Caenorhabditis elegans: one gene and its partners. The protein of the gene in region 2 purifies or fractionates together with the protein of the main gene of each other region. This does not show direct contact. Each region holds a gene or a part of one and is shown on either strand. Other genes may lie near its edges.

The links.
Region 1: the proteins of sec-24.1 (region 2) and copa-1 fractionate together in Caenorhabditis elegans (co-fractionation; one large-scale study listed by BioGRID). This does not show direct contact.
Region 3: the proteins of sec-24.1 (region 2) and uroc-1 fractionate together in Caenorhabditis elegans (co-fractionation; one large-scale study listed by BioGRID). This does not show direct contact.
Region 4: the proteins of sec-24.1 (region 2) and pcca-1 fractionate together in Caenorhabditis elegans (co-fractionation; one large-scale study listed by BioGRID). This does not show direct contact.

Annotation. Positions count from the first base shown.
Region 1 is NC_003279.8:2,894,581-2,903,072, forward strand, and holds copa-1 (Coatomer subunit alpha), read right to left. Parts: upstream 6,281-8,492; 5' UTR 6,222-6,280; coding exon 6,176-6,221; intron 6,124-6,175; coding exon 5,118-6,123; intron 4,272-5,117; coding exon 3,070-4,271; intron 2,542-3,069; coding exon 2,234-2,541; intron 2,181-2,233; coding exon 1,322-2,180; intron 1,260-1,321; coding exon 982-1,259; 3' UTR 749-981; downstream 1-748. Other genes in the region: gst-43 (maleylacetoacetate isomerase), read left to right, coding at 6,761-6,821, 6,863-6,927, 7,575-7,754, 7,801-7,881, 8,084-8,220, 8,274-8,394.
Region 2 is NC_003282.8:11,561,017-11,568,343, forward strand, and holds sec-24.1 (Protein transport protein Sec24C), read right to left. Parts: upstream 5,179-7,327; 5' UTR 5,176-5,178; coding exon 5,076-5,175; intron 5,033-5,075; coding exon 4,865-5,032; intron 4,821-4,864; coding exon 4,713-4,820; intron 4,670-4,712; coding exon 3,723-4,669; intron 3,672-3,722; coding exon 3,417-3,671; intron 3,365-3,416; coding exon 3,133-3,364; intron 3,083-3,132; coding exon 2,622-3,082; intron 2,572-2,621; coding exon 1,690-2,571; intron 1,644-1,689; coding exon 1,416-1,643; 3' UTR 970-1,415; downstream 1-969. Other genes in the region: pold-2 (putative DNA polymerase delta small subunit), read right to left, coding at 124-557, 603-692, 738-816.
Region 3 is NC_003282.8:16,536,294-16,544,655, forward strand, and holds the start of uroc-1 (putative urocanate hydratase), read right to left. Parts: upstream 6,457-8,362; 5' UTR 6,414-6,456; intron 6,075-6,413; exon of another isoform or gene 6,054-6,074; intron 6,031-6,053; 5' UTR 6,030-6,030; coding exon 5,904-6,029; intron 5,626-5,903; exon of another isoform or gene 5,601-5,625; intron 5,161-5,600; exon of another isoform or gene 5,134-5,160; intron 5,104-5,133; coding exon 4,832-5,103; intron 4,786-4,831; coding exon 4,644-4,785; intron 4,598-4,643; coding exon 4,469-4,597; intron 4,465-4,468; exon of another isoform or gene 4,444-4,464; intron 4,433-4,443; exon of another isoform or gene 4,412-4,432; intron 4,116-4,411; exon of another isoform or gene 4,095-4,115; intron 3,865-4,094; exon of another isoform or gene 3,844-3,864; intron 3,478-3,843; exon of another isoform or gene 3,457-3,477; intron 3,158-3,456; exon of another isoform or gene 3,137-3,157; intron 3,077-3,136; coding exon 2,784-3,076; intron 2,717-2,783; exon of another isoform or gene 2,696-2,716; intron 2,513-2,695; coding exon 2,171-2,512; intron 2,119-2,170; coding exon 1,997-2,118; intron 1,917-1,996; exon of another isoform or gene 1,896-1,916; intron 1,792-1,895; and 11 more.
Region 4 is NC_003284.9:7,656,624-7,662,801, forward strand, and holds pcca-1 (Propionyl-CoA carboxylase alpha chain, mitochondrial), read right to left. Parts: upstream 4,364-6,178; 5' UTR 4,356-4,363; coding exon 4,279-4,355; intron 4,227-4,278; coding exon 4,132-4,226; intron 4,082-4,131; coding exon 3,882-4,081; intron 3,141-3,881; coding exon 2,490-3,140; intron 2,443-2,489; coding exon 2,155-2,442; intron 2,100-2,154; coding exon 1,395-2,099; intron 1,341-1,394; coding exon 1,182-1,340; 3' UTR 889-1,181; downstream 1-888. Other genes in the region: F27D9.12 (RING-type domain-containing protein), read right to left, coding at 215-341; dhs-29 (NADP-retinol dehydrogenase), read right to left, coding at 5,373-5,475, 5,518-5,690, 5,783-5,951. UniProt on the Caenorhabditis elegans protein: This is one of the 2 subunits of the biotin-dependent propionyl-CoA carboxylase (PCC), a mitochondrial enzyme involved in the catabolism of odd chain fatty acids, branched-chain amino acids isoleucine, threonine, methionine, and valine and other metabolites.

The DNA of each region.
Region 1 (8,492 bases), on a different chromosome or scaffold from region 2:
TTTTTCTGTCATATTACGATATGAAATTCGGTATTTTCAAGTCACCTAGAGGATCAGAATCCAAAAAATCGTGAAAAAATAACGTAAAACTGCCGAACTGCACTAGTTAAACAATCGGCGAGTGCGGTGACTCATCCAAAGAATAAACAGAAAATCGATATTTTTACGATTGAAATTCACAGGAAATTCTTGTAGGGGGAAAAGAAGAAGAACAATTGTTTTAATCCTTTGCTGAGAAACTGAGAAACTGGGGGTGGGGGATCAAAAATTAATACCTTAATTGTTCAGTTTATTCGTGATTTTTGGATTTTTCGGGTCTTTTCCACGTCAAAAATGATTCTAAAATTCAGATTTTATTATATATATTATTTTAAATCAATAAATTCCGATAAAACAATCAGTTTTCAAGGAAATATGTGGACAGACATCATTGGACCACTTAGAAATTGCGAAATTCACTGAAAATTATTGATTAATTCGAAATAACTGAATAATTAGGTATATGTTAACTGAATTCCATGGAAATTTGCAAGAAAAATGAGCCAAAACGCGATAAAATCCTGGCTTTTGCCTTTTTCCGGTGCCAAAATGGTTTGTGTGCATTTTGTCGTAGTCCGCAATACCAAAACCCTAGACTTTACGACAATTTTCTTACTGTATTTTTTTTGAATTTTTTCGAGCAAATTTCTCCATGTAAATTACTGATTTAGAGAACATTTTCTTACCCCAAAGATAAATGAAAAAAAGTAAAAAAATCATGATTTATTCAAATAAAATAGACCAGCATGCAATCATAATCTTTCTGTGGGGTTTAAATAATTTTTAAAAACACATAATTTAAATAGAAAACATGAACCGCCGCCCAACGGGAAAATAATATGAAGGGACCAAAAGCAATGGGAATTGTGGAAGAACAAGGCAAATAAATTACAATAATTAATATCACACAAAAAACGAAAAAATTATCATATTTCACAACTTTTAGCTCTTCAGAGTTGAGATTCGGAGCCCAAGAACATTCTTTCCAACTTCTGCAACCTGGCACACGTTGCACACTTCTCCCTCGAGCCCTTCAGAGTACGATGCTCCACAATACGGGCATTTACAGAGTGGACGTCCACGGTAAAGAGGCACAAATTGACGAGAGCACACGACGAATGGATTATGCTCATCATAGGTCAACTGATGCGCGTCAGTGTTATCCTTCTCGGCGGCAGTCAGCACTTTTCGGATTTGAGCAGCAACTTCTGGTTTTGGAGCTGGAAAAAAAAATTAAGAATTAGAAATAAAATTTAAAAAAATCAACAACGCAAGCACGTACCGAGCTCCAATAGACGTTTGCAAAGTGATGCACAAGTCTTCATTTGCTTCATTTTGAAGAAAGTATTGATAGCAGATCTCAGTGTCAGGATACGATGCATTGGTTGAAGCTCAAAGTGTGTAAAGTAGGCAGCTAGTTCGGCGTTGCGTTTCGCATCCTCCAAATTCGTTTTTGGCAAATCTTTTCGATAAGTTTCAAGGAGAAGTGCTGCAAGATATTCCCGTGTGATTGTGATGAGCTGCTCCGCTTCGGCGACTTCTTGTTTCGAAGACACAACGATCAGTGGAACAGATAGAAGAATCTCCCGCAGTTTCTCGACAGCATCTCCAAACTTTCCATTCGTCGTCATTTGATAAGCCTTTTGCAGTTTCTTTGCAAGTTGAGAAAGTTTGAACGCAGCGACTGGAAGATGATTCTTATCCTCCTGGAAATTACGAACCGGATGAATGGACACTGGTCCAGCTGGTCCGAGTCCTCCCCATCCACGATGTGAGAGTCTAGAAGCTGCATAAGCCTTCACGAATACATCCTTGAATGGTGCTGCTTCAACGACTCCAATTGTATCATGAAGAAGCTTGATGGCAGTTCCGAATGAACCAGCTGCAACATGATCAGCAGCAAGACGAGAAACATTCGGCCATTCCGATGAGACAGCTGGAGCTGGGTTAGGAACCACTTCCTCATCATCATCTCCACCTTGATCATCGGTAACATCAGGAAGAGCCAGATCATCATCCACATCCCATCCACCTTCCTCATCTCCATCAACTGGTCCTTCTCCTTCATCAACATCAAGTTCACCATCTTCTCCGACAAGATACTCATCATCTCCCCATGCTTCATTTCCAACATCACCATCCTGCAAAAATTAATATTTTATAGCTCAGATAGCTCAGAAATCAATAAACTAACATCATCATCCATAACAGCAAAGGCAGCAGCAGCAGGCTTCACACCGCCAACATTAGTTGGAGCAGATTGTCCTCCTAATCCAAGAAGCTGTGCATCGAAAGTTCCTCGAGCCGAGGCAAGAAGTGGCCAATTCTCTTCTAAACGAGCAACTGGTGGTGGTGGGACAAGGAGGCGAGCATTTGGATCAACTGGTGGGATTGGTTGCTGACGACTCTCGAGTTCAGCCTTCAACTCCTCAGCTTCAGCAGAATATCCATGAGTGGCTGCGGCGAGGTAGGCCAGAGAAGTTTGTCCACAGTTTCGGAGCACTGAAAAATTAACTTTATACTTTATTTTGTTGAAAATGACCCAAAAAGTAACGAATTTCGTCATGAAAAATCCTGAAAAGTTTCTGAAAACTCACAAAAAAAGTTATGGCGGTTTTGAGATTTGGAAAAAAACCTATTTTCAGCTAAAATCTCAAATTTTGCCAACTTTAGTGTGTCATTGATTATTACTTTTTAATACATATTTTGGTCGTCTATCACACTTTTATTCGTTAAAACGACCAAAATACGTATTAAATAGCGATAATTGAATAAAAATCAAGTTCCGTCAGCTGCGAAACTGAAAAGTTGGCAAAATATGAGATTTTAGCTGAAAATTGGTAGATTTCCAAATTTTTTTTTGAGAAATCTCATGACGATATTCGGTAGATTTGGACCATTTTTAGGTTCAATAATTTCAAAATCGTCTAGAATTTGCAGAAATTCACGAAAAAAATACGCAAAGAGGAGCTAAAAATCAATAAAACTTTGACTTTTGCCCCCTTCTGAAATCCAGCTGCACATTTTTACCTTTAACTCTCTCCTCAACATCACCAGTGTAGAGAGCTGTCTGGAAATGTCCGTGAGCATCATTTCTAGCCTGTGCAATCTTCATCATCTTGACAAGCTTATCCGTATTTCCAGTAACAAAATACAAAAACGAGAGCTTCTCAAAGTTTTTCGTTCGTTGATAGCTCATCTCAACAATTTGATGATTGCCTTGAAGAAGAGCAGTCTCTCCGAGAGCCTCCCAGACTGCTGGCTCGTCGAGCTTCTTGGCGGCTTCCAACGCGATTTCCAGGTTTCCACATTCAATTGCCAACCCGAAGCGAGTCTTCTCATCCTTGACAAAGTGAAGAGCAATCTCTGGGTAACCCTTTTTCTCGAGATATCCAATGATGGATTGACCGACGAGATTTGCGGATCGAACCATGTTGACAACTTCATCGATTCGTTTGTTAATCAAAGCAAGCTTAAACTTGTAATCAGAATTATCAATTGGAACTTCAACTGGTGTAGCGTCACGATTCAAGCAGTAGAGCACGTTTCCTCGAATAGCCAGAATGTACAGAGGAAGATCCAGAGTACGAACGATTCCACAATCTCCAGAATTGATTGCATATTTGATGTGATTGCTAGTGGTGTAGAGGAATACCGAGTCATCATCCCAAGCTCCACTCTTCACACGAGTCGACTCCTGTTGGGTACACAGAATCTCCAATTTACGGTTGACCAAGGTCAGCGTGTGCTTTGAAAGAAGAGCTGCGAATTCCATAGACTTGCTCCAAATCACATAACGAACTTTCGACACTTTCACTGAAGCAGTCACAATCTTTTGCTGAACATCAAACAGTTGAAGCCCATCATCATTTCTCAAAAGGAGCATTCCAGTTCCGGCATAGAAAATATCGTCGACAGCCGTGTTGATATTCTCGAGTTTGCGAAGTTCCTTGTTCGTCAAATCACGCAACGACACATTCTGAGCCTTGTCAAGAACTGCAAAACGATTACGAGCAACCCAAAGTGCATTGATTCCGGTGCTCTTGACGCACGCAGCTTCAGTGGTTCCATCAGAGTTACTGGCAACTTTGTACAGCTCAAAGGCGCATAGATCCTTATTGTGAGTACGGCTTGTGAGAAGGAAGGTTCCCTCGGCAGGATTGAAGGAAAGAGAGTAGTATGGTTGCATGAATGGTTGTGGGTAACGGAGCTTGCACAGAGCAACATCCTTGCTGAAAATTTGATTTTAGAGGGGTTTTTGCTTGTACATCCCCTCTGAATGTACAAAAAATAACGAATTTTGTAGTGAGAGTCCTCAAAATTTCCGGAGAAAAGCTCTAAATTTAGCTAAGATCTCCAACTTCGTACTGAAAATAACAGATTTTTTAGATTTATCAAATTTTTAGCTTTAAAAATTTTTTTCCTGCATTTTACGAACAAACCTTCTGTTAAACAGTGAAAATCGAATTTAAAATGACTAAAATTAACTTTTTTCGTCCACTGGTTGTGAAATGGGTTGAAATTGAAGAAATCAACGGGATTTTTCTCATTTTCTAAATATTCTCCTATTAAAAATCGGTTTTAGTAAAAAAAAATGGTTTAAAACCGATTTCTAATAGAAAAATATTCAGAAAATCAGAAAAATCCCGTTGATTTCTTCAATTTCAACCCATTTCACAACCAGTGGACGGAAAAAGTTAATTTTAGTCATTTTAAATTCGATTTTCATTGTTTAACAAAAGATTTGTTCGTAAAAAGCAGAAAACATTTTTTGAAAAGCTAAAAATTTGATAAATCTCAAAAAAAACTCTGCTATTTTCAGTGGAAGTTGGAGAATTTAGCTATTGAAATTACGCCTTTTTTCCGATTTTTTGGAGGCTCTAAATACGAAATTCGCTTAATGGGGCACATTTAAAGTTTTTCATTTAAAAACTACTGAGACTCCACAAAAACATGATTCAGTGCGCCGGAAAATGCATTTTCGCAACTCTCGCACGCTTTTTTTCGCAAAAAAAAAACGCTAATTCTGTGCAAAAATGCATTTTGCGGCACACTTTTCTTGGCATCAAACTACTCACTTGGTTGTCAAATCGAGCTTGCGAATTTGTTGTCCCTTCACATAGAAAACCAAATTATCACTGACACAATAAGCCGGGCGTTCTCTTTGAATTTTAAAAACGACCATTCCATTGTCATGTCCTGCGGCGAACATGTTCAAGCTTGGATGGGCGGCCAAAACCCAGAAACGCTCATTTTCATGTCGGAAAACGTGAAGACTGGTACGCTTCTGCATATCCCACACACGAATCGACTTATCCTCCGAGTTGGAAAGAATCAAGTCAGCATTTGGATGGAAGATCACAGATGAGACGTTATTGTAGTGTCCACGGCACGAGTCGAGCTCCCAGGCTTTCGTCTCATTGTAACGCCAAATCTTGACTTGACGATCATCGGATCCCGAGACTAGAATTGGATTGGTATGATGGAATGCAACCCAGTTGACTCCACGATCGTGTCCCTCTAGCACATGCTTCACAACTGCATCAGGTTGCCCGAATAGCTCAGCTTGTTGCCCTCCGGTTGGCCGGCTTGGAGCACCTCCACCAGGCATTTGCTTCTTCCGAAGTCCAGAAATATCCCAAACACGGACGGTCTGATCCAAGGAGGCAGAAGCCACAAGATCTTCGGTTGGGTGGAATTGAGCACACATGACGTAGTGATTGTGTCCGGTGAGGATGGCGATCGAGTTTCGGCTCTGCCAATTCCAAATCCGAACCGTTTGATCGTCGGACGCAGAAATGATCCATGGATACTTATGATGGAAGAAAGTGGTACGAATATAATCCAAATGTCCGAGAAGTGTGAAAATACAGCGTTTCTGCTTGTAATTCCACACTTTAATCTTATAATCATCTCCTCCAGACACAAAGATCGGCTGATCATGATGGAAGCAAATTCCTCTCACTGGACCATCGTGCTCGTCGAACTTCTCGAGAAGAACGCACATTCGGTAGTCCCAGAGTTGAATGACTCCACTGTGCAGCGATGTGAGCACCCATGGCCGAGTTGGGTGGAACGAAATTCCTGGAAAATTGGGAAATTATTGAAAAATAATGCCAAAAACCAAAATATTTACCTTTAACCCTAGCGGATTTTGATTCAAATTTGATAAGGAGCGACATGATATCCGATTTATAGTCGGTAACCAGTCAAAAACTGCTCCTCGGCGTGAATGAAGGTTCTGAAATTATGGAAATGACACGTGGATATATAAGAATGTTTAAAAAAAACAGACAAAAATGCAAAAAATCAATGAAAAAACTTGGAATTTCGATTAAATTGATAAAGAAACTACGAAAAATACCATAAAAATTAAGAATTTCAGAGATAAAAATCGGTAAATCCACGTTAAAAGAGACAGAAAATGGAGAAAAGAGGACAACGTGGAAACCTGCGCATCAAACGGAATGTGTGCAAACACGGCGACGCGAAACTGCACAGTTTAGGAAAAATGACCGTTAAAGGGGAATTTTAAGTGGGAATTGACATAAAAAAGTGCTGAAAATTGAGGAAAATGGAGGTTTTATTCGGAGAAAGTAGTTTTTAACTGAAAAATTAGGGTTTTTGAAGATTTTTCCCACGTGTTCATATTTAATTTCTTCTCAAAATGTCATTTATTGCTTAAATATTTCAATTTTCTTCTTTAGAAGCTTCTAACTCCATGGCAAAACCGATTTTATATTCATATTGGCGTTCGTCGTGTGCCTGGAGAGTTCGCATCGGTAATTTTAGCTTGGAAATTCTATAAAATACTGATTTATAGCACTTGCTCTGAAAAATATCGACTACGAATACCGGCCAATCGACTTATTTTCTGAAGAATCCAAGGTTAGAAAATTTCCGGCAAATTGGAAAATTGCCGGAATTGAAAATTTCCGGCAAAATTCGCCAGAGCGGCAAATTGCCGGGATTGAAAATTTTCGGCAAATCGGCAAAGTGCCGAAATTTAAATTTCCGGCAAAATTCGGCCTAGCGGCAAATTGCCGATTTGCCGGAAAAAACCACAATTTGTCGAAAACTTTTGGCAACGGTAAATCGGCAATTTGCCCAAAATTACAATTTCCGGCAAATCGAAAATTTAATGAAAATCAAAATTTTCGGGCAAATTGGAAAATTGCCGGAATTGAAAATTTTCGGCAAATTCGGCATATTGCCTGAATTGAAATTTCCAGCAAATTGCTAGAATTGAAAATTTCCGGTAAATTGGAAAATTGCCGGAATTGAAAATTTCTGGCAAAATTCGGCAGAACGGCAAATCGCTGATTTGCCGGAAAAACACAATTTGCCGAAAACTTTCGGCAACTTGTGGTTTTGCACATTTTTTTCTGGAAATTTCAGAATTTCAATTTTAATCGGTAAAATTCGGCAAACGGTAAATCGGTAAATTGCCGGAATTGAAAATTTCCGGCAAACCGGCAATTTGCCATCCACCCCTGCCCTACTCCCACTTCCATAGAAATATAGCTGTATTTCAGAACAATGCAGAGTTCGTCAAGCACAACCCAGCGAAAAAAGTTCCAACTTTAGTGATAAATGGCTTATCACTGACAGAAAGCTTGGCAATAATCGAATATTTGGATGAAGCCTATCCGGATCCTCCGTTCCTTCCAAAAGAATTGGATAAGAGATCGTATTCAAGAGCTATCGCACTTCATGTGAGCTTTTAACATTCTTTAACAACTCTAAGCGAGCTCTTTTCAGATAGTCGCAAGTATTCAGCCACTTCAAGCAATCAATATCCACAAAATGCTCAATGAAAAGGAGCCGGGATACGGTGACTTTGTGGGTTCTCACGTGGTGTCAGAGTGTCCCATGTCGGGTTGATCTACCTAGATCTACAAAAAATGCGGGAGAAGAGACGCAGACTTCTAGAACGTGCTGCTGACGTCACATTTTATCGGTGAAAAAAATTTCCGCATTTTTTGTAGATCAAACCGCAATAGGTTCCAAGAGGCGTTTCCCGATAGTTCAAAATGTATTTCAGTGGTGCAATCACTTTGTGAACAAGGGATTCTTAGCTCTCGAAGAACTTTTGAAGAAGCATTCTGGGAAATATTGTGTTGGAGATCAGCTTACAATTGCTGATATCAACTTGCCATCGATAATTTATAATGCGAAAATGTAGGTTATTTCAAAATTTTGAATTTTTAAATTAAAAATTTTGAAATTTCCAGCTACAAAGTCGACATGTCCAAATATCCAACTATTACTCGAATTAATGAGATTCTGGCGGAAGATTTTAGATTCAAATTGGCTCATCCAGATAATCAGCCAGATGCTCCAAATAAAAACTAATATTGAACAATGAATAAAGTTTTTAATTGAGACTATATGTTTAAGATTTAAAAATTTGGAAATTGCCTGAAATTCAGATAGCCGTTCAGCAAATTGCC
Region 2 (7,327 bases):
GTACTCTTTAAAGGCGCACTCTTTTGTATTAACAAAAATCGGTCGCTTCGAGATCGTGTACCGTAGTTTTGGAGCACAATTTTAAAGTTGGAATAGTATTCAAGTTACAGAATTAATACTCACATCGTCTTCCAAATCTCCAGTTAGATCGAGTCCACTGACGAAAGCGATAGTCCCGTCGACAGCCACTTTCTTTGGAACTTTTACAGATGGCCAAACCAAACGATTCACATGAAATACTCCTTCTTTTCCTAATTTTCCAAGAACTCCAACACAACAACCAGTTGCACACTCATCCATTGAAATATTTCCTTCCAGACGTACTGTCTGTTTATCTGATTCCAATTCGATTCGATCTTCAATGCTTCCAGCGTATCTTTTCACTTCGTCTTCTTCGGCATCTTCTTCATAATCATCATAAGCCACTTTATCCTCGTTGAGCAACGATTTCAAAATTGATGGTCTTGCAGCTATTCTCTTTACAATAACGCCGACCACGAAGATTTCCTCGTCTTGTTTAGCATCGCTCAATTGTGAATGCGTGAATTTTCCCTTGCCTGAAGATAAAAATTAAGGTTTATTAGTAATATTATAATTCTAACCAATTTCACGTTCTGCATTTTCCAAAATACGAGGTTTCAGTTCCTTCAAGCGAGCTTCGTAGACTTCAAAGTACTGTCTAGTGAACGCACCTGAAAGAAAATAACTTTTTAAAGCTTAGAGCAAAATATAAATACCTTTTTTATCTTTTTCAGTGAGAATGTATCGATCTGAGACATTCTTATAGTTTAGGATGTTGGACCAAGCGGTTTCCATTCTTAAAATAAAGAAAAAAATCAATTCAAGAAGGCAAATTTGTCAATGTTGAAATTTCGCGGCAAATTGCGTTAGAGCGCGTTAACATTACACCGAAGTGAATTTCAAAAATATAATATTCACAAAGTCAACATATTCGATTCTCAAATGTTTAATCAAAAACATTTTATTTTCATAAGACACCATCAAATTAAACACATTCGATCCCATTTCAAATCACAATAAATTATATGGACGGGGTAATAGGGGATATTTTACAAAAAAAGGAACAATAAATAGAAATCTCTAAAAGTCGCGAGAGCAACTGGAAAAGAATAAATTAGGAATCTGGGAAAAAGCAGATAAAACAAATTCTATTTTTGCACTGATAAGGTGCTAGGAAAGCTAATATCTTAATTTTTACAAACCATGCTCCATAATATTAAAAGAAAATAGTACGGCGAGAGGGAAGGAAATGAATGTGTACAAAGAAACCGGTACAAAATATTAATTCTTCCAACATTTCTAATCACAAGATTTGCTTTGGCGTGATCAAAATAATATGAAGGAAGAACAAAGGGAACAATCAAGAGAAGCAATTCTATCACAGTATCAACGACTTAGGAAATGAGATCGCGGATTTTGCGATGGATATCCACAAGGTAATCAACGTATGACATATTAGCAGGACCAGCCTTGTCTTCCACTAAAAATTTCTTCATCCATGGCTCAAGGCCGCTTTTTTCCACGACAACGAACGTTTTTCGCTCTCGGATCCCACGTGGCAAAAGTTGAATTGCACGACGAAGAGCACGTGAATGACCATTGTCTTTTTCCGGAATTGTTCCCTGAAAAATGTAATTGACTAATTGAACGTAGCAATTGATAACTTACACTCTCGGTATCAATTTGATTTGTAGCACCAACACCAAACACGTCTTGAACCCATGTCTGGGGGCATGCAGAGCCAACCCAGACAAACAGAATAACACCGTTATCAATAATATAGGCTTTCGAATTTTCCAGGAACTCAGAACTCGCTCTAACAGGTTTTGGAAGATCCTTCATTTCTTCAGTATCATTGATTTGTAGATCAGAGATTGGCATAACTCTTGGATAAATAAGAGGCATGACATTTTCAGTTCGTAGCCCACGGATCAATTCCATCTGCCACACTTTGTCGTCGACTGTCATTTCACTTCCTCCACTGATCGCATCATTTTTCAAAATAGAGTTCACATAGAGCGGCATCAATTTCAGAGATTCAGGAAGAATCAGTTGTCCAAGTGGGGCACCTTCACTACACTTCTCTCGATAGGTCGCTAGGAATTGTGCACAACGAGAAGAAAGTGATTCTCTCATTTCTGAGCTTCCCTTGTCACGATTCAATTGAACAGCTTGCTTCAACATGAATGCTGTCAATGCTTCCGGATCAGCAAGTCGGTAAACTTGGTTGTAATCAGCAGTAACTGGAAGGCATAAGTTCAAAATTCGCAAACGGCGCTGTCCAGTCATCGACGTATACAGTACAGCGGTTTGAATGAAGGAAGCTGGATCTTTCAGACTATCATCATGTTTGATTTCTGTGATGAATGCTTTGCTTTCATCCAATGTAGCCAATTCCAAATCCGTTGAGTTTTCCATGTAAAAGGAGCCAGTAAAAGTGATAGGACGAATTCCTGTAGACGTTCTTACTCTTGCCATGCAGTCGAATGCAATTTTCTTAGAAACGTGTCGTTCCAACTCATTCAACATGCGAACACCGTCTTTATCGGCCTGAAATAAAAATAAAATTAATAAAATTATTGGTTTTTCTTTAAATTTACCGAGAAATACTGAAATTTGAAAATAGATCCTCCCGTAACTGCAGAAAGCTGACCAATTGTGGCAACATCAATGAAAGCATTTGGGAAGAGGAATAAATCGACAGTAACTCCTGACTTGACACATTGCTCTCCCAACTTCGTGTATGAATCTTCTTGTGGAACCAGTGCATTCTTTTCTTTATCTGTCCCGAGAAGAGATCGATCATTTTTGGATTTCAGCTTTCCCGGTGCATCATATGTTGGTAGAACAGTTGAAAACAGAATCACTTTTCCTGCTCTGTCGGCACACTTCAAAGCGTCAAGACCGGCTTGTACGACGGGTTGAAGAATGGTTTCGGTGGTTTTCGACTGCGAAAAGAGTTTAGGAATTTCAGCCAATGCGGCACGAAGTCCAGGAAGTGCCTCGTTGTAAGGGAGAAGAAGTCCATCGACCATAGGAACAAATGGCTCTTGAACATCAGCTAAAAACAGTACATATTTAGACAAATTTTTATAAGTTTATCAAACTTACACATTACGAGCATTTTTGGAGATGCCGACGAAATGTCAAAGAAATGAACCGCCTGATCGAATGTAGCCAATCCTATACGCATAGACGACTCGAGCTGTCCAGATTCTCTTGGCAAATTTCGAAGTACTTTCTCCAGATTTTGACAAAGAATTGGAAGCATTCCGTTTGAAATAGCATTGTAGGATACATCAATCATAAATATGAAGGCCGGTTCTTTTGGCGCGATTCCATTCTAAAAATGTCACTTAGAATTTTTGAAAATTGCGATTTTTTTAATTACGTACCTTGCAGTATTGTTTTGTAGCTACGAGATCATACGCTCCAAGACAGAGTTCTGGACGCATTTCAATATCAGTTCTTCTGCCTGTATGATCGAGATGGGCGAAATAAGCATCTTCGACAGAAGTTCGAGCATGGCAAAATGGACAACGGAAGGAGCGTCCACCATCTTGGAATTCCATAAACGGACAAATGTATGCCTTACAACGCTGGCAACGAATCGGTCCTTGTGGTCCCAGATCGACGACTGGTGGTTCTTTCTGAAATTGAAAATAATTGATTATTCATTTTTGAAAAATTAAAAAAAAAACCTCATATTCAGTCAGAGATGCGAATGGCGAAATGACAACGGCGAGCGGAATCTGCGATGCTTTCAAAATGTCATTAGTCTGTGGAGCTGTGTAGAGGGTTGATCTCATAAATTTGGGGTTGCAGTTTCCTTGATCTTGAGCGAAAGAATTTGTAGAAACAAGTGGCGGCAATTCAGCGTTCGGATATCCAGTTGGGAAGATCCCGCTACGAGTCGACGAATCATCATCAATAACTTGAACAGCACTTGGCATCATATTAGGATCAAGACGTTGTTGTCGTTGCTGTGGTGGGCCGCCGGGGTATCCACCTTGCATTCCCGGCATACCTGGACCTCCTGAGGGATATCCGCCGGGACCTCCTGGGCCTGGAGCTCCTGGAGCGAATGATCCTGGCATTCCTGGTCCTCCTGGGCCTGGGGCTCCCGGGGGAAATGATCCCGGCATTCCTGGTCCTCCTTGTCCTGGAGGGAATGCTCCTGGCATCCCTGGTGCAACTGGAGCTGAGGCTCCCGGAGGAAATGCTCTTGGCATGCCTGGGCCTTGTGGAATATCTGCTGGGCCAGAGGGATATGATCCTGGAACTTGTGGACCGGGTGGAAACGAGCCCGCTGTGGGTTGTCCTGGTGGAAATCCTCCTGTGCCAGGTGGGATGAACGAATTGGGCGCTTGAGGCACTTGTGGAGCACCTGGGTAAGCGCTAGGAGCAGAAGATGGTCCACCTGGGTAGCCTTGAACATTTTGTGAAGTGGGTGCTCCAGCTTGGAACGAACTTGGAGAGCCGCCTGCCTGTGGAAAACCAGGGATTTGTGGTCGAAGCGGAGTGGGTTGATGGATCTGATGTGGTTGTGGCGGCAGATGAGCTCCTTGGTTCATTTGCGGAATTCCCGGAGTCGGAGCAGGCGCTTGTTGCATTGCTTGAAGTGGACCTGCAGGTGTGGCACTAGGAGCTAAAATAGAAGTTTTAGCTTTGCCTCTATAAACACTATTTACCTTGAACACTTTGAGGTACAGCGGCGAACTGTTGAGGAGTTTGCTGTCTCTGTACTTGTTGCAATTGCTGTGGTGGAGCTCCGGGATATCCTGCTGGCTGGTACGGATCTTAAAATTAAACTTAACGGATTAGCGAAAAAAAAGCAACTCACTTGGGGGTTGTGCTGACGGAGTTGATCTAGCTCCAATAGACATATTATTCACAGATTGTGCCAAGTGAGACGAATTTCCATTTAAGCCTCCATTTTGATACTGTCCATTTGGTTGCTGATGGGGTGGAGGAAATCCACCTGGGACTTGAGCTGGCTTTTGCGGCGCTGCTAAAACAATTGTTGTATTATGCAAATGTTCATATAAACTCACCTGGAGGGGGAAATCCGTTTGACTGAAACTGCGGCTGTTGGTTAAATTGCTGTTGAGGATATCCGGGCATTTGCCCGTTTGGTGGCGGCTGATATGACATCCTGGAACAAGTATAAAGATTATTTTATATTTTTCAAAATAAAAAAGCTAGAAATCGAGCTAGAAATTAATTAAATCCCGAAAAGAACGTTGATTTTGCTGTAAAGTTCCATGTCACAGCGCGATCCACCGTGTACGCAAACGTCGCGGTGGGCAAATCGCTGCGAGACCCAGCGTGCTGCGTCTCTTCAGGCAACAGCTGTCTCTCTTCATTTCGGCACTTTTTGAATTTTAATTTTTTGTTTTGTTGTTTTTTTTTCTTTTTTCTTTGTTTCCGTAAATGGAAATGTTGATAATTATTTAGATTACACCTAGGCGATTAAAAATTACTATTTGAATCAGGATTCTGTAGGTTTTGAATAGAATATTACCCGCTAGTACTGCTTGTTCAGTTTAATTCGGGAAATCCTTCTAAACTCCAACTAGATGTGATAATAGACCTTATTAATAATATCGATGCACGTTTTTGTGTGCTCAAAATTACAAAAATTTGGCTAAACACATTTATATTCAAAGTAAGGTTTCAAAAAAAAAAAATTTCCTCACGATATTCATTAATGAGGTTCTTATTATTTATGCTAATTGTGGTATAGATCGCCAGCTGTTTCTCAATCCCTTTCTCGTTTTCCGTATTTCGTATTCAAACCGCACCGCCCTTCTCTGTTTTTCTGGATCTCACCGTCCATTACTGGCAACAATAGGAAAGAGTTTTCTTTTATTCTGACCTCTTCCCTCCCTATTCAGTATGTTTGTACAGTTTCCATTTACATTAGTCACTCGCTCACTTTTTGACTTTTTTTTTGCAATCTTTCGGCCCACTCAAACCCTCAAGAAAATGTATCAGTTTCAACTTTGTTCCTATAAATATTGATATCAGGGTGTCTACACGTTTCACTGTTTTTTTGTATCCCGGAACATTAGTAACACAAATGACCCGATTCCAATGGCAATTAGGCGCTTCGAATCCTTTCACCGTCTGCCACTTATGGTCTCAAGGTTAAGTTATTATTGTTACTGTCAGGTACTACCCATCGGATAAAAAGACGATTGAACATCCCTCACGAATGTTTAATTTCGAACTCTATTGAATATACTTGTAAGAAATATTATTTTGTGCTTATAGTTTTTTCAAAAAATGCTTTTAAGCTTCAGTTTGACAAATAAATTCGGCTTCGTTAGCTGAATTTCCCTTGCCCTTTCACTTTTGATCAATTAGTGCAGAACGACGGATGGTTTAAATTTTACGATTCCCTAAAGACTTCATTTCCCAGGCACGATGCTAAAATAATGTAATTGTGTATCAGAAGCGAAGTGAAATCGGTAGAGAACACTTGCGTCAGGTGTCACATATCCTTTTTTGGTCCTTTTCCTTCGTTCTATTCACGTCCATTAGGTATTTATTACTTTATTAGAGCTTGTTATGACGAATGAGCCGCGGATAAACAATGCATGTTCTTTTACTTCTTTTGAGTGTGTGCCGCCCGCATCCGCCGCTCAACACATCCATTATGATGCTAATAAGTTTTATCCTTATTTTGTCGGTCATGAATTATACAAATCCGCATTTATTTTACTTACCCGATTTTTAATGACAATTTTGAGTTATGAACTTGAAAGCATTGAAATTATTTTGATCAATTTGTGGGTTTTATTTATTATTTAAATTTCAAACCCAGTATCGTTATACTGAATACGACTCGTAAAATATCATAGCATTTTTCTAATTTTTAAAATAGGTTTTTTAATCAGAGAATTTTATTGACCTAGTTTCGACATTTCCGGCTGAATTAATTGAGTTTTTGTTTTATAAATTGAAGCACAATTTATCAGTTTTTTCGCAATATTTAGAAATATTCTATTCATTTTTACTGATATATTCAGTAAATCGAGACAACACTGCTCTCAAGTTTCTCGATATTTTACAGTGACACATGGAGTTAAAGTATAAAATACTGTAGGATCAGATGTAATCGCATCATCATGAAATCCGCTTTTGAATCCCTTAGCCTCTTCAGAAGGACACTCGAAACTAATTTGGTTTTGACCCGATTCACATCGTTCTTTTATTCGTTTACTATTACTATTAGAATACCGTCCATCATCCGCTCCCTACATGTTTTCATATTGTCTCCTTCGACATTTATAATGTTTTT
Region 3 (8,362 bases), 5.0 Mb from region 2:
TAAACATTTGAAGTCTCACGGAATGGAGAATCAGTTCCAGAAACATCATGATGATCTCTTGAAATTACAATTGCAGCCGACACTTTTCCAGATTTCACGAGCTCATTGAATGCAGAAGCCAATGCAACTCTTCCAGCACGATCCGAATATAGAATCCGTGCCTGTGAGCCAACGACGAGCTTATTTTTCTCGGCTTCTTCTATCCATTTCTTGTTGTCCAAATATTGCTGTTTCACGTATTCGGGGACTGAAACGTTGGTTTAACAGAGTCTATGAAACATGATAAATGTGCTTTGAAATTTGGAGTTGGTGGTTTGATTTGCTCAGCCTTATTAAACTAGCAAAAAATAATGATTCGATTTTTGGTTCTCAAAATGAAAAAATCAATGTCTCTGCTAGAAACAGAAAGTTTCAAAACTTGGCAGCAGTGTGAGTATATTTCGGAATAAAAATAACAACCCAATTAATTTTCAGTGGTACCCATTCAAGAAGAAGACGTGGTGATTTTTTGCAAATTTTCTCAGAATTTTTAAGAGCGAATATTTGTTAAAGTTAAGGGTACCCATTTCAAATAATTCATTCAGGATCATAGTATTTTGAAGATAATAAAAAACATAATTTTTTACAAATTGTCTAATACAATACGTTACAAATTAAAATGCAAAGTTGGAAACAGTGAAAAATTCTCAAATTCAACTTGTTTTCAAACCGCATCTCCTATCTCTCGTTTTGGTATACTTGCTTTGCGGTCGACACTTTGTGAATTGTTCATCATGGTACGACATATCCCGGGTTTCCGGGAACGATGTTAATTTTTTTCAGCGGAAAAGACATTTTCGGTAGACTTTCAACTTTTCCAAGCATAAATTTGATAAATAACCTGATGAGTTCCCCTAAAACTACATGTTTCTACTCTTAAAGGTGGAGTACCGAAATTAGAGACTCTGTTTTTTTAGAACAAAATGAGCCCAAAACTACCGAATTTTGTGATGAGACGTTCTGAAAATTTCTTTAAAAAAAGTTATGAAGGTTCAAAGTTTTAGAAAATAAGGCCCATTTTCAGCTAAAATCGAAATTTTATCTAATTTCTCGGTGTTGCAACGTTTGGAATTGAATTTTTATTTATTCATCTCTTTTTAATAAATAATGTGGCCTTTGATTGGGCGTTTATTCGTTGATTTAAGTACATTTATGGTCAGTGAGGCACAAAATGTAACTTTTATTTGTGCCCCAAAGACCATAAATGTAGTTAAATCAACGAATAAACGCCCAATCAATGACCACAATATTTATTAAAAAGTGATGAATAAATGAAAATTCAATTCCAGACGTTGCGACACCGAGAAGTTGGAAAAAATTTTGATTTTAGCTGAAAATGGGCCTTATTTTCTAAAACTTTGAACCGTCATAACTTTTTTTTTTGAGAAATTTTCAGAACGTCTCATTACAAAATTCGGTAGGTTTGGACTCATTTTGGTCTAAGAAAACAGAGTCACTAATTTCGGTACTCCACCTTTAATATGTTATTTTTTAATTCAGCAAAATTAATAAAATAAAATAATCGAACATACTTTAATGACTATGCGAAATTGTAGAAGTTTTCTGCTTTTTTTTAGCAATATTTCCGGAATAACCTCTTTCAAAAAGCGAAAATTATATAAACTTCTCGAAACAGTACGCTATTTTATTTAGTAGTTATTTACGGTTTCAAGAATATTACACTGGCTATTCGTTTTTCTTTTTTTTTTTCAACAGCTTCACATCCCTAAATTTCCTAACAAATATTAAAAATTAAAGTCAAAATTCGTCGGCAGTTTTATGGACAATATGAAACAGCATATATATGATTTCTCGCCAACAAATGCTCAATTTTATGAGATTAGTACTAAATTTCAAAGATACACACACTGAACCCATCAAATTTCTCAAAATAGTGAACATACATATAGCCATAGTGAAACAGTCGATTTTTTTGTTACAACATAAAAGCACTCACCATCAGTATCCTTCAACTCATCAATAATCTTGCATGCTGTCTGATCAGTCAATCTCAAATCTTCCGGCTTTCCAGAAGTACAAACCCATCGGAATGGTCCAAATCCCATTGAAAAGATGTCTCTGAAACAGAATTTATTTTATTTAAATTGTACTCTTTTCAAATAATTATTACCCCATAATATCCTGCATATAACTTGGATATCTAAACGATTTATCATCCTGAGCATCCTCTCTGAGCAAATTGGCTCCAGCTCTCTGGCATTCCAAAAGGAAAGCATTACCGTAATCCCAGAAGTACATTCCCTTTGCAGCAATCTTGTCGATGGCGGCGATTTGGCGGATTAAAGAGTTTTGAACAAGTTTTTTGAATTTTACAGGATCAGAAGTCATCATTTGATTGGATTGTTCAAAAGTGAGTCCAGCAGGGTAAAAACCTCCAAGGAATGGATTGTGGAGAGAAGTTTGGTCACTTCCCAGTTCTACAAGACATTCCGGTTCCTCGGCGAGCCGTTCCCTGGAATTTTGAAAACTCATAGTTTTTTGTCTAGAATTTTTGTGAATAATGTTTTACCAAGTTTATTAATTGTGAAAAATCTTTGTAAAAAATTCTGTAATTTAAAAAAAATCTTGGTTCCGAAACTATGAGATATATTATTTGTATTACAATTTTTTCCGCTTTTCTCGTTTCCTTTAATTATTTTCCCTCTTGCTCCGTAGATCGCCTTTCACACTTTCATAAAAAAATTTAACAACTTTCTGAAACAGTAAAATTTTCTAAAACTCACCACAAGTCAACAACATTCCCCAAATATCCAATACTAATTGCCTCTTTTTTCTCTCTGTACTCTTTAATCCAATTCACAATTTCCTCAAGATCCTTCGAATATACATCCAACCATCCCTGTTGATGACGTTTCAACAATGCAGTATCACTAATTTCCGCAATAACTCCAATACATCCAGCAATCTTAGCTGCTTTTGGTTGAGCTCCACTCATTCCTCCAAGTCCTGCAGTTACGAAAACCTTACCAGCAAGGGAATCCAGTCCCATACGACGACCAGCGTTGAGGACTGTGATCTGGAGAATTTTTACTGTTTCAGGGGGTTCAGAAATTCAGGAGAGTTGTGATGAAATTAATCGGACAAGAAGAATAGATCGAGAAAAACTCATATAGTGACGTCACTATTTTTCTATATGGGTAGAAAAGCTGTAATCTGTTGCATCTGGTCTCGAATCATTTAGATTTCTTTAAAATATTATAAAGTGAAAAGACTTTCAACTTTCTGCTTCTAATAAGTCAATTTTGAAAAACCTTAAGAAAATTACGAAATTCAAATTAAAAAAAAATGTTATCAGTTCTGGTTCATTATGTAACTACTGAAAAAATAAAAATAAAATTTACAAAAATTTATTTTTTCACAGTTTCTACATATTTTAGGGCTTTGTAAGATAGCTATTCGACTCTATTTAAGGTGGAGTACCGAAATCTGAGATTTTGCTTTTTCCGACCCAAGATTCCCCAAAAACTACTGAATTTCGTAACGAGACATTTTGAAAATTTCTCAAAAAAAAAAGTTATGGCGGTTCAAAGTTCTGATAAAAAAGGTCTCATTTTCAGCTAAAATCAAAAATTTTGTCATCTTCTAAGTGTCTGGAACTAAATTTTTGTTAAATTATCACTCTTTAATAAATACTGTGGTTAGTTGAAGTAAGTAAATTTTTTCAGTGGGACAAAATATTATCAGCTTTGGTTCATTATGTAACTCTTGAAAAAAAAATTACAAATTTCAGAAATTTATTGTTTCATTGTGTCTACATATTTTAGGACTTAGAGAGTTAGCTATTAGGAAGGTTTTCAAGAGAACACCGCTATAAATTAAAGCAATATATCAAGTTTTCTTGACGCCACTTCTCTACTACTTTGGTGGAGTTTGGATTATAAAATAACTAGAATAATACACAAAAACTTAACAAAAATCATTCAAATACTATCTGAAACCGTTGTATACTGAAAACCTTCTGTGTAGCCCATATCCCAGAATAAAATTTACTGTTTCAGTGTGTTCATATATTCTGGCAGTAATAAGGTGTTTAATGCCAAAACTTCAGCTTTGGTTCATTATATAACTATTTAAAAAAAAAAATAAAATTTACAAAAATTTAATGTTTCACAGTGTCCGTATATTTTAGGGCTGAGTTAGTTATTAGAAATAACATGTTTTCTTTGAGTCACTTCTCTACTACATTGGTGCAGTTTGGATTATATAAATGACAAGAATCATATTCAGAAAAAAAAACAAAAATCTTGAAATCCTTGAATTTTTGCCTTTGAAATTCCATCTAAAACCGTTGTATACTGAAAACCTTCTGCTTTGCCCATTTTCCAAAATAAATTTGACTGTTTTAGTGTGTTCATTAAATTTGACGGTAATACGGTGTTTTAATGCCAAACTCCATTTAACGGCTTACCGTAGTCCCGTGTACAATTCCCTGTGGTCCAATATAACAGAAACTTCCAGCAGTCATTTGTCCGTACTGCGTCACTCCTAATGCAAAATACTTGTCGTACAGCTCCTTTGTCGAGTAGCTCGGGATCATCTGAAATGTCAAAATGTACGAAGCATCCTAGTTTCCAAAGGCCTACCATTCCATTAGTAACAGTCATTCTTGGCGAGTCCGGGGTTGATGGAAATAGGCCCAATGGGTGTCCGGAATAGAGCACCAAAGTTTGATGGTCAGTCATTGTGTAGAGGTAACGAAGAACCAGACGGAATTGGATCCAATTGCTGAAATATCATTTCTCAAGCATTTCAGAAAGATTCCCATGCTAACCTAAAAACTTGACCATTTCCTCCATAAGTCACCAATTCCTGTGGAAACTGGGCAACCCGCTTGTCCAAATTGTTTAGAATCATCAAAATGATAGCCGATGCTTGTTCGCAATGAGCTCCGATCTCCGAGACGGGCGGCGCGAATAGATCAAAGTTTGGCATGAACCGATACCCATAGATGTGTCCATAGGTGTTGAGCTCTTCAGCGAACTCGGTGGCTAGAAGGACGTGATGCTCTTTTGGAATGTAGCGGAGAGCATTGCGGACGGCGAGCTGGAAGAATTTTATAGTTGAAGCTGGTTGGGACCTGCATTGAAGTTCGAAACAATAAATTTTGGAATTCCACTTGTATTTTATCAAGTAAGTGAAACAGACTTTTGTAACTAATAGCCAACAGCTTTTCAGCTCCTAAATTAAAATTTGATCTGATTCTTGATCTTCTTGATTGTTCTTGATCTCGAAAACTACATAGCCTACCGACTTCAAAAACTGCTCCAAAATTGCAAAAAAATTGTAAATTTTGTTACAGTCTTCTCTTACTTTTTTCTGAACTAGAATTGGCACAACAACTTCATTCAATTAATTGGTATCTCCCAAATTGCGCCGAGCACAGAGAACACTGTGCAACCCGGGAGATGTCGGAACAATAAATTATAACATTGATCTCATTGCAAATAGTTTACCATAATTAGGAGTAGATTTGAAAAATTAAAGGTAAAAATGTTCACTGTTCCAAATATTGCATTTCAATTTGTAAAAAGTTCTATTAGTTAGTCAGTGTAGCATTTAAACTTCTTGATGCAACAAAAAAAAGCTAATTTTATTAAAAACTAGGCAAAAAATTTCAGAGTTTAGCCAAATTTTTCTAAAAAATTTGTTAGTTTAGGCTCATTTTCAGCCAACTTGTCAAAGATTATGTTTCACAGTCTTCTTTAAAGCGCTCAATGAAACAATGAAACTGTTTTTGCAGTTTCAAAAAATTCATTTGAAAAGAAAAAATTCCAAGTCAAGTGCCTAAACGTTTTTAATGAAACAGTACATTTTTTTTATCTTTTCAAAGATAAATTTATTACCATTTTCTCTGTCTGTGTAAGATTACACGGACGCTTTGGTGCGTGAGCCACATTCTTGGCACGTTGCTCCGTTGGATGCTCGAGGAGCGGAGAGAATGGGTCGACGAAGAGAGATGGGATGTTCATGCTGGAAAATTGAGTCTTCACAAACCGAGTCAACAGTATACGAAATTAGAAAAATCAACAGTAAAAACATTTTCTCAATGTGATGAAACAGTAATTTTTAAAAAATAAAATTTAAAAAAAAATTTCTAGAAAATTCTAGAAGTTACCAGATTTTTCTAAAAAATTCTTAAAGTTCCCACATTTTTCTAGAAAATTACAGAAGTTTATAGATTTCTCTGGAAATTTCTAGAAGTTTCCAGTTTTGTTCTAGAAAATTCTAGTAGTTTCCAGATTTTTCTAGAGCATTCTAGAAGTTTTAATACAATTTATTGGTATAGTTCATAAAATTGACAATTGCCGAATTCCAAATTTCGGTAAAATTTCGGCACTCATCAAAAAACTAACCTCAAAATTTGCCAACAAAACCGAACTTATTCTGATCAGCAATGAAAGATTTCTCGTGAATGTTCGACTTCTCCTCCCCCTTCTCCCACGTGGTATGTTCCTTCCCGCCCAATAGATCACCGCCATAAAATTCTCTGTTTTGATGATTCTCGTCTTCTGGTTCCAGGTTACGATCCTTGACGACGACGAAACGGTCGGATGATTGCATTTTTATTGGTTAGTTTCAAGGTGTGTGTGTGTGTATTTGGAAGAGAAAGATGATAAGATCTGAATGCAGAATCTCGCGATTGGGTAGAATTCGAAAATAGAACATTGGGACTTTAAAATTATTTATAAAATTAATTTTTTAGTTACTGTTTCCGCTAGTTGTTATAAATCGGTGATATATATTAAGAGTTTTATTGGAAACACAACTTTCAGAGCTTATAAATTTGACCGTTTCAACTAGTTGTTATAAAACTGCAATTTATTTGTTGCTTACTACCTACATCACATTTGTAAGTTAAAACTGTAAAACGAATTAAAATCTTTGGAAAAACAGTTTTTTCTGTTTTTTGTTTGTTTTTTGGTCCGAAGAATTTCGAAAAGAAATACCAAATTTTGCTTAAAGCATCCATAAAAAATTATAAAATAGAACATTGGATTTAACGCGAATTTAGTGGAAATTAACCGTGAGGCTATGAAATAAAAAATTACAGTTTCAGCTAGTTGCTATGTAGATGCAGTTTTATATTTCCTCACTGAAGCGACTAAAATTACAACATTTTGAATTCTTGCAGAATTTTTGAAATTGAAAAAAAATACAGGAGGAAGGTCTTACCAAAAAAAGTTTTTGATCAAAAATAAAAATAAAAAAGTTTTTTTTTTGAAATATAGTTTTCTTTTGGTTTTTGGCCCGAAAAAAAACAGAACATTTAAGAGAACAGTTCAGCACTTTAGTCCTCCAGGTGTGCTGCTGGACCACCAGGATTCTGAGGAGCTCCAGTACAAGATAGAGCTCTAGAAAATTATGTTTCTTACGGGAACACCCGAAACACGGGTCAAATTGACCGTGAGACTATCCAATTAAATTACAGTTTCAGCGTGTTCTTATGTACAACACGCTGAAACTGTAAATTTATTGGATAGTCTCACGGTATACCCAAACCACCTGCACAATTTTTACTTCAAGCTCAGAATCGCAAATTTGGCTCAAATTGAACGTGAGACTATAAAATAAAATCGCAGTTTCAACTAGCTGCTATGTACTAGTGAACATTCTTATTTCTCATTAATCTTTTTCTGATATTTGCTGTAAATTACAAAATGTCTTGTTAATTACAAAAACTAAGGTTTCCATGAAGGCGTTCAAATTCCCACCTGCCTGACCTTAAGGCGATCTCCGCCTGCCTCTTGCCTCAATACGCGCCTTATTCTAAAACATACACGAACTATTTGTTTTTTCATATCTTAATTTGATTTTCAACAAAATTATTGAAATGAGAAAAAAACGTAAAAATGCGATTCGAGGCAGGCGTCAGGTCCCTGAAACCGCGCCTACCTATTATGGAAGATCCAATTCTAATCCAATCCAAATATGGAATGTAAACGGCACTGCAAGTTTGTAATTAAATCACAATGTTTGAAAAAAAAAACAGATTTTTACAATTTGACAGTTTCAATTAGTTTTTATAAAAATGGCATTTGTTTTTGATTTAGTAAAAATCTTAGTAAAAGAACCAAAAAAAAAAACTACGAATTTTGTTTTAAACTCCCCGACTGAAAATTAAAATTCGTCCAAAAACAAAAAACAATACAAAAAATACTTTAGGTATGTTGCTGGACTACCAGAACATGACGGAGCTCCACTAAATTATGTTTCATCGGGAACATCCTAAAAATAAAAAAAAATTAAATTACCGTTTCAGCTTATGTACAAGAAATTTCTTTTTTTTGTTCGGTTGCTAACC
Region 4 (6,178 bases), on a different chromosome or scaffold from region 2:
CCTATTTTCATCTTTAAAAAAATAACAAGACTAAATACTATAATACAACAAACTTCTCTTTTTAATTTGAAATCAATTTAACACATATTGGAAAGGGACGGGTCTCACCCACTTTTTCGAAAAAGTTAGATTTAAACTGTTTAAAACTTCAACTAGCACTTCGTTTTATTGATAATCAAGCTTCAACTCAAAAAAAAATCAAATCTATACTTACAATAAAAACATGCAACACAATTGTGTTCGCATGATGGTGGGCTCCTCCGTTCATGCATAAATTCAAGGCAGGCTGTGCAACAGTTCTCTTCCCCGTCTTCGTATCTACTTATACCGATACTAGACATCTTACAGATCTGAAAGTGCTACAAGTAAGTTTTATTAAAATATTGACATTATTTATTTTCTCAACTAGAAGTTAACAGAATTTAACAATATCAGTGTGACACTACTCACACGAAACCAAAAAACGTGAGTTAAAATGAGATTGAAAAGAACAGAAAACGGCAAAAAAAACTGGAAGAAAAATTCTTCTTTTTCTTCTTCCCATCATTTTCTGTTTCATCTTCTCGTCTCAACTCGTCTTTTTGTCAATTTTCTTTCAGAATAATCAATTGGCACTGCTATTCAATATTTTGAAATTGAGATACATGAAAGAAGAACATAAAAAAGAGAAATCTGAAATTTTTAAAACAGATTTGCAAACTGACAAGTTTTTTCACAACGCTTATTTCCGAGCTTCAATTATGGACTATGGTAAAATGTTTAGTTTACACAAGCTATTTCACAAAAAATAGAAAATTTAATCAACAAAACATCTGCACTTATGTTATGTAGAAACAGAATAGATATATAATTTTCTAATTGAAAAGTTCAAAAAATGAGCAAATGCTTTTTTTTCTTCATATAACAACCTTTTTGCAATGCCTTCTACAATATTTATTCACTACATAATACTTGGGGCAACAAAACAGGGTGGTGGCTGAGAAATACGTCCGTGATGATTGGAATACAACAGGTGAGGGTAATGGCATCAAAAATAAAATATAAATATGGCTTGAAATTTGAGAAACTGCGAATGAAATTATCAATCTCCATACCAGATAGTGGCGGCTTTGAATTGTACAAAATTAGGAAAAAAACGGTAATTAAAACAACAAAAAAAATTCAGGTTCAGTGAGAATAATCTACTCGAGCTCAACGAGCACCTCTCCCTCGTCGACTGTGGCTCCAACCTTCACATTGACGGCCTTGACGCGTCCGGTCTTTCCAGCATGAAGACTGTTCTGCATCTTCATAGCCTCCATGACAACTAACTCTTGTCCCTCGGAAACCATATCTCCTGGCTGTAAATTGAATCAGTTTTAGCACATCTAATGGTAGTGATAAAATAATGTTACCTTAACGTTGACGTTCTTGATTGCTCCTGGCATTGGTGAGAGCACAACTGTGGACAAGTCAACCTTGGCCTTCTCCTTCATGTACTGCAAGTACTTGACGGCCTGCTCTGGAAGCACCTTGACCTTGAATGGAGTTCCCTTGTAAAGAACGGTGATCTCTCCGGCGCGCTTGCCAACAATTTGGGTGGTGATGTGCTCTCCATCGACTTCAATTGAGTTGACTGGATGAGACAAGTTGAGATCTCCACTGATAGTCACAGTCTTTCCACCAATACGAACTTGGGCCTTGTTGGCGCTTCCTTCGACAAATTCGACTTCAACAGCGTGCTCGGTTGGCCTCTCACCCTCCTTCACTGGCAGAGAAGACACGAACTTGTAGGTCTTCGAGAAGGAAGCCACATGAGTGCTACGTTGTTTGTTCTGGTTCAAGAATTGATTGGCACGAGCAAGTTTACGAGCGTTGAGAGCCGAGGCAAAGGCAATGACAACGTCTTGCTCTTTTGGTGAGAGGCTGGTTCCCTGGAAGCCTTCTGGGTACACTTCTGGAAGATATTTGGTGGTAATGTCTCCAGTACGGAATCTCTTCTCTTGGACAATATCACGAAGAAGTGGAATGTTGTGAGTGACTCCACGAATGACGTAGTTGTCGAGAGCCTCTTGCATGCGGTTCAGAGCCTGTTCACGGTTGTCTCCGTGCGTAACGAGCTGAAATTACAAAGTAAGTCACTTGAAATTATCTAAATGCTAATTTATCCTTTACCTTGCAGATAAGTGGATCGTAGTAGATAGAGATTTCCGATCCCTCACGGATTCCAGAGTCGCAACGAACTCCGTCGACGTGTTTTGGCTCAACATATCTGGAGAGACGTCCGACTGATGGAAGACCGAATCCCTTGTATGGATCCTCGGCGTAGACACGAGACTCGAAAGCCCATCCGTTGAGTGGCACTTGCTCTTGGGTGATTGGAAGTGGGTGACCGTAGGAAACGCGAAGCATCTGTTGGACAATATCGATTCCAGTGATGCACTCGGTAATTGGATGCTCGACCTGTGAGTATTTAAAAATTAAACATTTAGGCCATACTGAGATATTACCTGAAGACGAGTGTTCATCTCCAAGAAGTAGAAGTTTCTCTGAGAATCAACGAGGAATTCGACGGTTCCAGCAGAGTCATAACCGACAGCCTTGGCGAGCTGAACGGCCTGTTCTCCCATTTTGCGTCTCATCTCTGGTGGCACAAAGCTGCTTGGAGCCTCTTCGATAACCTTCTGGTTTCTTCTCTGAATGGAGCATTCACGCTCGTTGAGCCACAAAGCGTTTCCATGCTTGTCGCAGAGCACCTGCATCTCAATGTGCCGTGGGTTGTCAATGAACTTCTCAACGAGCATTCGATCATCTCCGAAAGAAGAAGCTGCTTCTTGCTTGGACAAACGGTATCCTTCACGAGCTTGCTTGTCGTTCCAGGCAACTCGCATTCCTTTTCCACCACCACCGGCAGAAGCCTTGATCATGACTGGGTATCCAATGTCGCGGGAGACTTTCACGCACATATCCTCATCAGCAATTTCTCCGTCATATCCTGGAATCATGCTGACACGGGCTGCGGTAGCGATTTTCTTTGAATGAATCTTGTCTCCCATATCAAGAATAGCCTTAGAGTTTGGTCCGATGAACTTGGCTCCAGCCTTCTCAAGCTCGGCGGCAAACTTGGTGTTCTCGGAAAGGAATCCATATCCTGGATGAACCTGCAAATATATGTTTTCAACGTTTTTAGCAGTTCTGTTTGAAAAACATAACAGAAGACACTTGCAATCTATCTCTCGTCATTTGACTTTGACTATTTGAAAATGAAACACGCGAGATGCTAGAGACTGGAAAGAGACCACTTGGTCACTTGTCACAGAATTTTTGTTTTGTTGTGTTTCGTAGTGAAAGTAGGTGAATATCACGTGCATATTACAAGTAACTGGTTTCTAATATATTACGGTAAATCTTAAGCTGCTACACAGCCAAAAGCTCTCGCTCGGGTTGTCAAACTGTTTGACCCTAGCTTGTCCTCTGAAAAATGCGGTAATTCGTGCTTTTCATAATTTGACCTCACCACAGTTTTCAACAGGCCATAAGAGGGAACTCTAGAGCTTCATCACTTCAAACCCTCATATCTCAGCCAGGTGATATGAGCATGAAAAAATTGAGCATTATCAAAATGTAGGGAATGTTTTATTTCACATTTTTTCAGTCAGCAACTTTTTTAAGCTATTCTCTCCGTTTGAAGTTAAGCGCGAACGCTCTGACTTCTTGAACAGTAGTAGTTGATTTGGAGCGGTGTTCTGAACTTTTGCAAAAACTCTATTCTCTGTCGGATGTCTGGGTAATATGTTTGTGCTACTGTGCATGTAGATTCATGCCACAGAATTTACATTCTCCTCTGATATTTGATTTTTGCGGTTTATCCTTCCATTACATAGACACGTTAGAATTCTTACCGCTTGAGCACCGGTGTCCTCGACAGCTTGCAAGATGCGGTCAGCACGTAGGTAGGATTTGGCAGTTGGAGCTTCTCCAACACATACAGCCTCATCGGCCATCTTTACGTGAAGCGAGTTGCTGTCGACATCTGAGTGAACGGCCACTGTCTTGATTCCCATAGCTCTGGCAGTTTTGATCACGCGACACGCAATCTCTCCTGTAAAATAGACGATTAAATCTAAGATTCTTTTAGATGCTTGAGATTACCTCTATTGGCAATCAAAATCTTGTCGAACTTTGGCTCATTGTAATCGATTCCTACAGTAGTGTAAATCTCCTTTCCCTCACGTTCATCAAGTGGTCTGAAATTGAACCTATTGATCTCAAAACCGAATACAACTTTCAGAAACTTACACTCCTGGTCTGGCAACAGCAGCAGTTGCCAATCCACGATTGGCCACAGCGCGGATACTGGATGCAGCACGGAGCATGGTTCAACCTAAAAACAATGATTTTCATGATAAAATGAACAACGACATCAGCAGTTCACAAAAGAAAAAAGTAAGATGATGGAGAAAAACAGTTTCGTGTATAACTTCGATGGAGAAAGATAAGGACGACCGATTTGATTTGGTCAGTTAAGTGATAAACAGCGATGCCTTGAAAACTCTCTTTATATTGATTATGAAGGAAAACTTCGACTAGTAGAAAAAATAAGAAAAACATGCAGAAATGGCAACTGAGCAACGAAGTAAATAGCCTGGCCAGAAAAGAGAAAAGCAAGAAGTGCGGTGCCCTTGTCCCGCAACAAGATTTTCACAAAAGTTGTCTATCTCTCTTTTCTGATGGACCCAAAGCGCAGTTGCCCCGCTCTCTCTCTTTGCCCATTTCTTGCGATTTTGCACGTATTCGTCCTCTGAACACACACACGCAGAGAAACCGAGAAAATCACCGGGATAGGTTGAGAGTTGGAAAGACGACCTCACAATGTTACAATGAAGAACTTCGAATATAATTCATAGTCCAGTCTGCACGTTTTCTATAATTTTTGAACCGAGAGTCCTACAAAAACTAATAATTTTACAAAAAACGTGTATGCGTGAAACGGAAAATCTAAAGACTCACACAGTAAGTACACTCAATACACAAAAAAAAACGGCAAAATCACCAAAAACAGGGAAGAAAAAAGCCGACCTTCTCTGGCAACAGCGAAGGCAAGAATGACCTGCTCATTGACCACTACATGATCAATAAAACAACAAAAAACAGTCCAATAATGCGCGGGGTTGTCCAAGATATCTCACACAGCAACCTCAACGGAGCGCGTTTGCAGTGATCTTCTCTGCGTCTTTGCACACACTGGCCTTTCTCTCGACATGTTGTTTATTTGAGAATGTTTCGTTGAGTTTCTTCATTTTATTTGATAATAAATGGTCGTTCATTGCATTGGCAAAAAAAAACAAAATTAATACATTTTAGGAACTATCAGACACATTTTCAACTACTAGTCAATTATTCTTCCTCTGCTTGGCTTCGTATCGACTGAGAATAGAGAGTGACGGGAAACCAAGAATAAACGTTTGGACAACCCATTTTGCGGTAGAAGCAAAACTGAAAATACAATTTGTTATAAAATCAACTGAAAAAGTTCACCTGATATTGGCTTTATGGCAGAGATAAAGAGCGTAAAGAGCTTCACCGGCGTGTGCTACAAGGGCGAAAAGGTTGGTTAAAAGAGCAACAAATGGATACTCAGTTCCAATCTTATGGACGAGAGATCCAATTAATGGAATATTAAGTGCTGCTGCTGGATGGGCGTAAGAAATCTAAAAATCAAAGATATAGATCGAAGTGGAAGCTTTGAAATATCTATTTTTATCAAACATAGTTTTTTTTCACTTGAAACCTTAAAACTTACGTAGTTGATAGCCAGAGCTGGAACAATGAGGAGCCACCAGAAGAGTTGTGGAGTTTTGTAATAGTCCGACATTTCAATAAGTGTCAGTTTGCAAAATGATGGATCTGAAGCGGAATACTTAACACCCAAATAATTACGAAGCGACCGGCACACTTGAAGAGAGCAGAAACTGAAATAAAAAATTAGATTTTATCATGTTATCATTAGTTGGCTATATTCTACATAGTGTACGAGAATCAAAAAGTAAGTGGAGATGAATAGTTGGTTTCTTTTTTTTTTGATTCTCTCAAACGATAGAAGAAGGGGTGTCTTCGTGTAATAGAGGAGATACTATCTGAATCAATAAGGACACCAATGGTGACCTCAATAATAGAGCGTGTAAAGACAAACTAGACG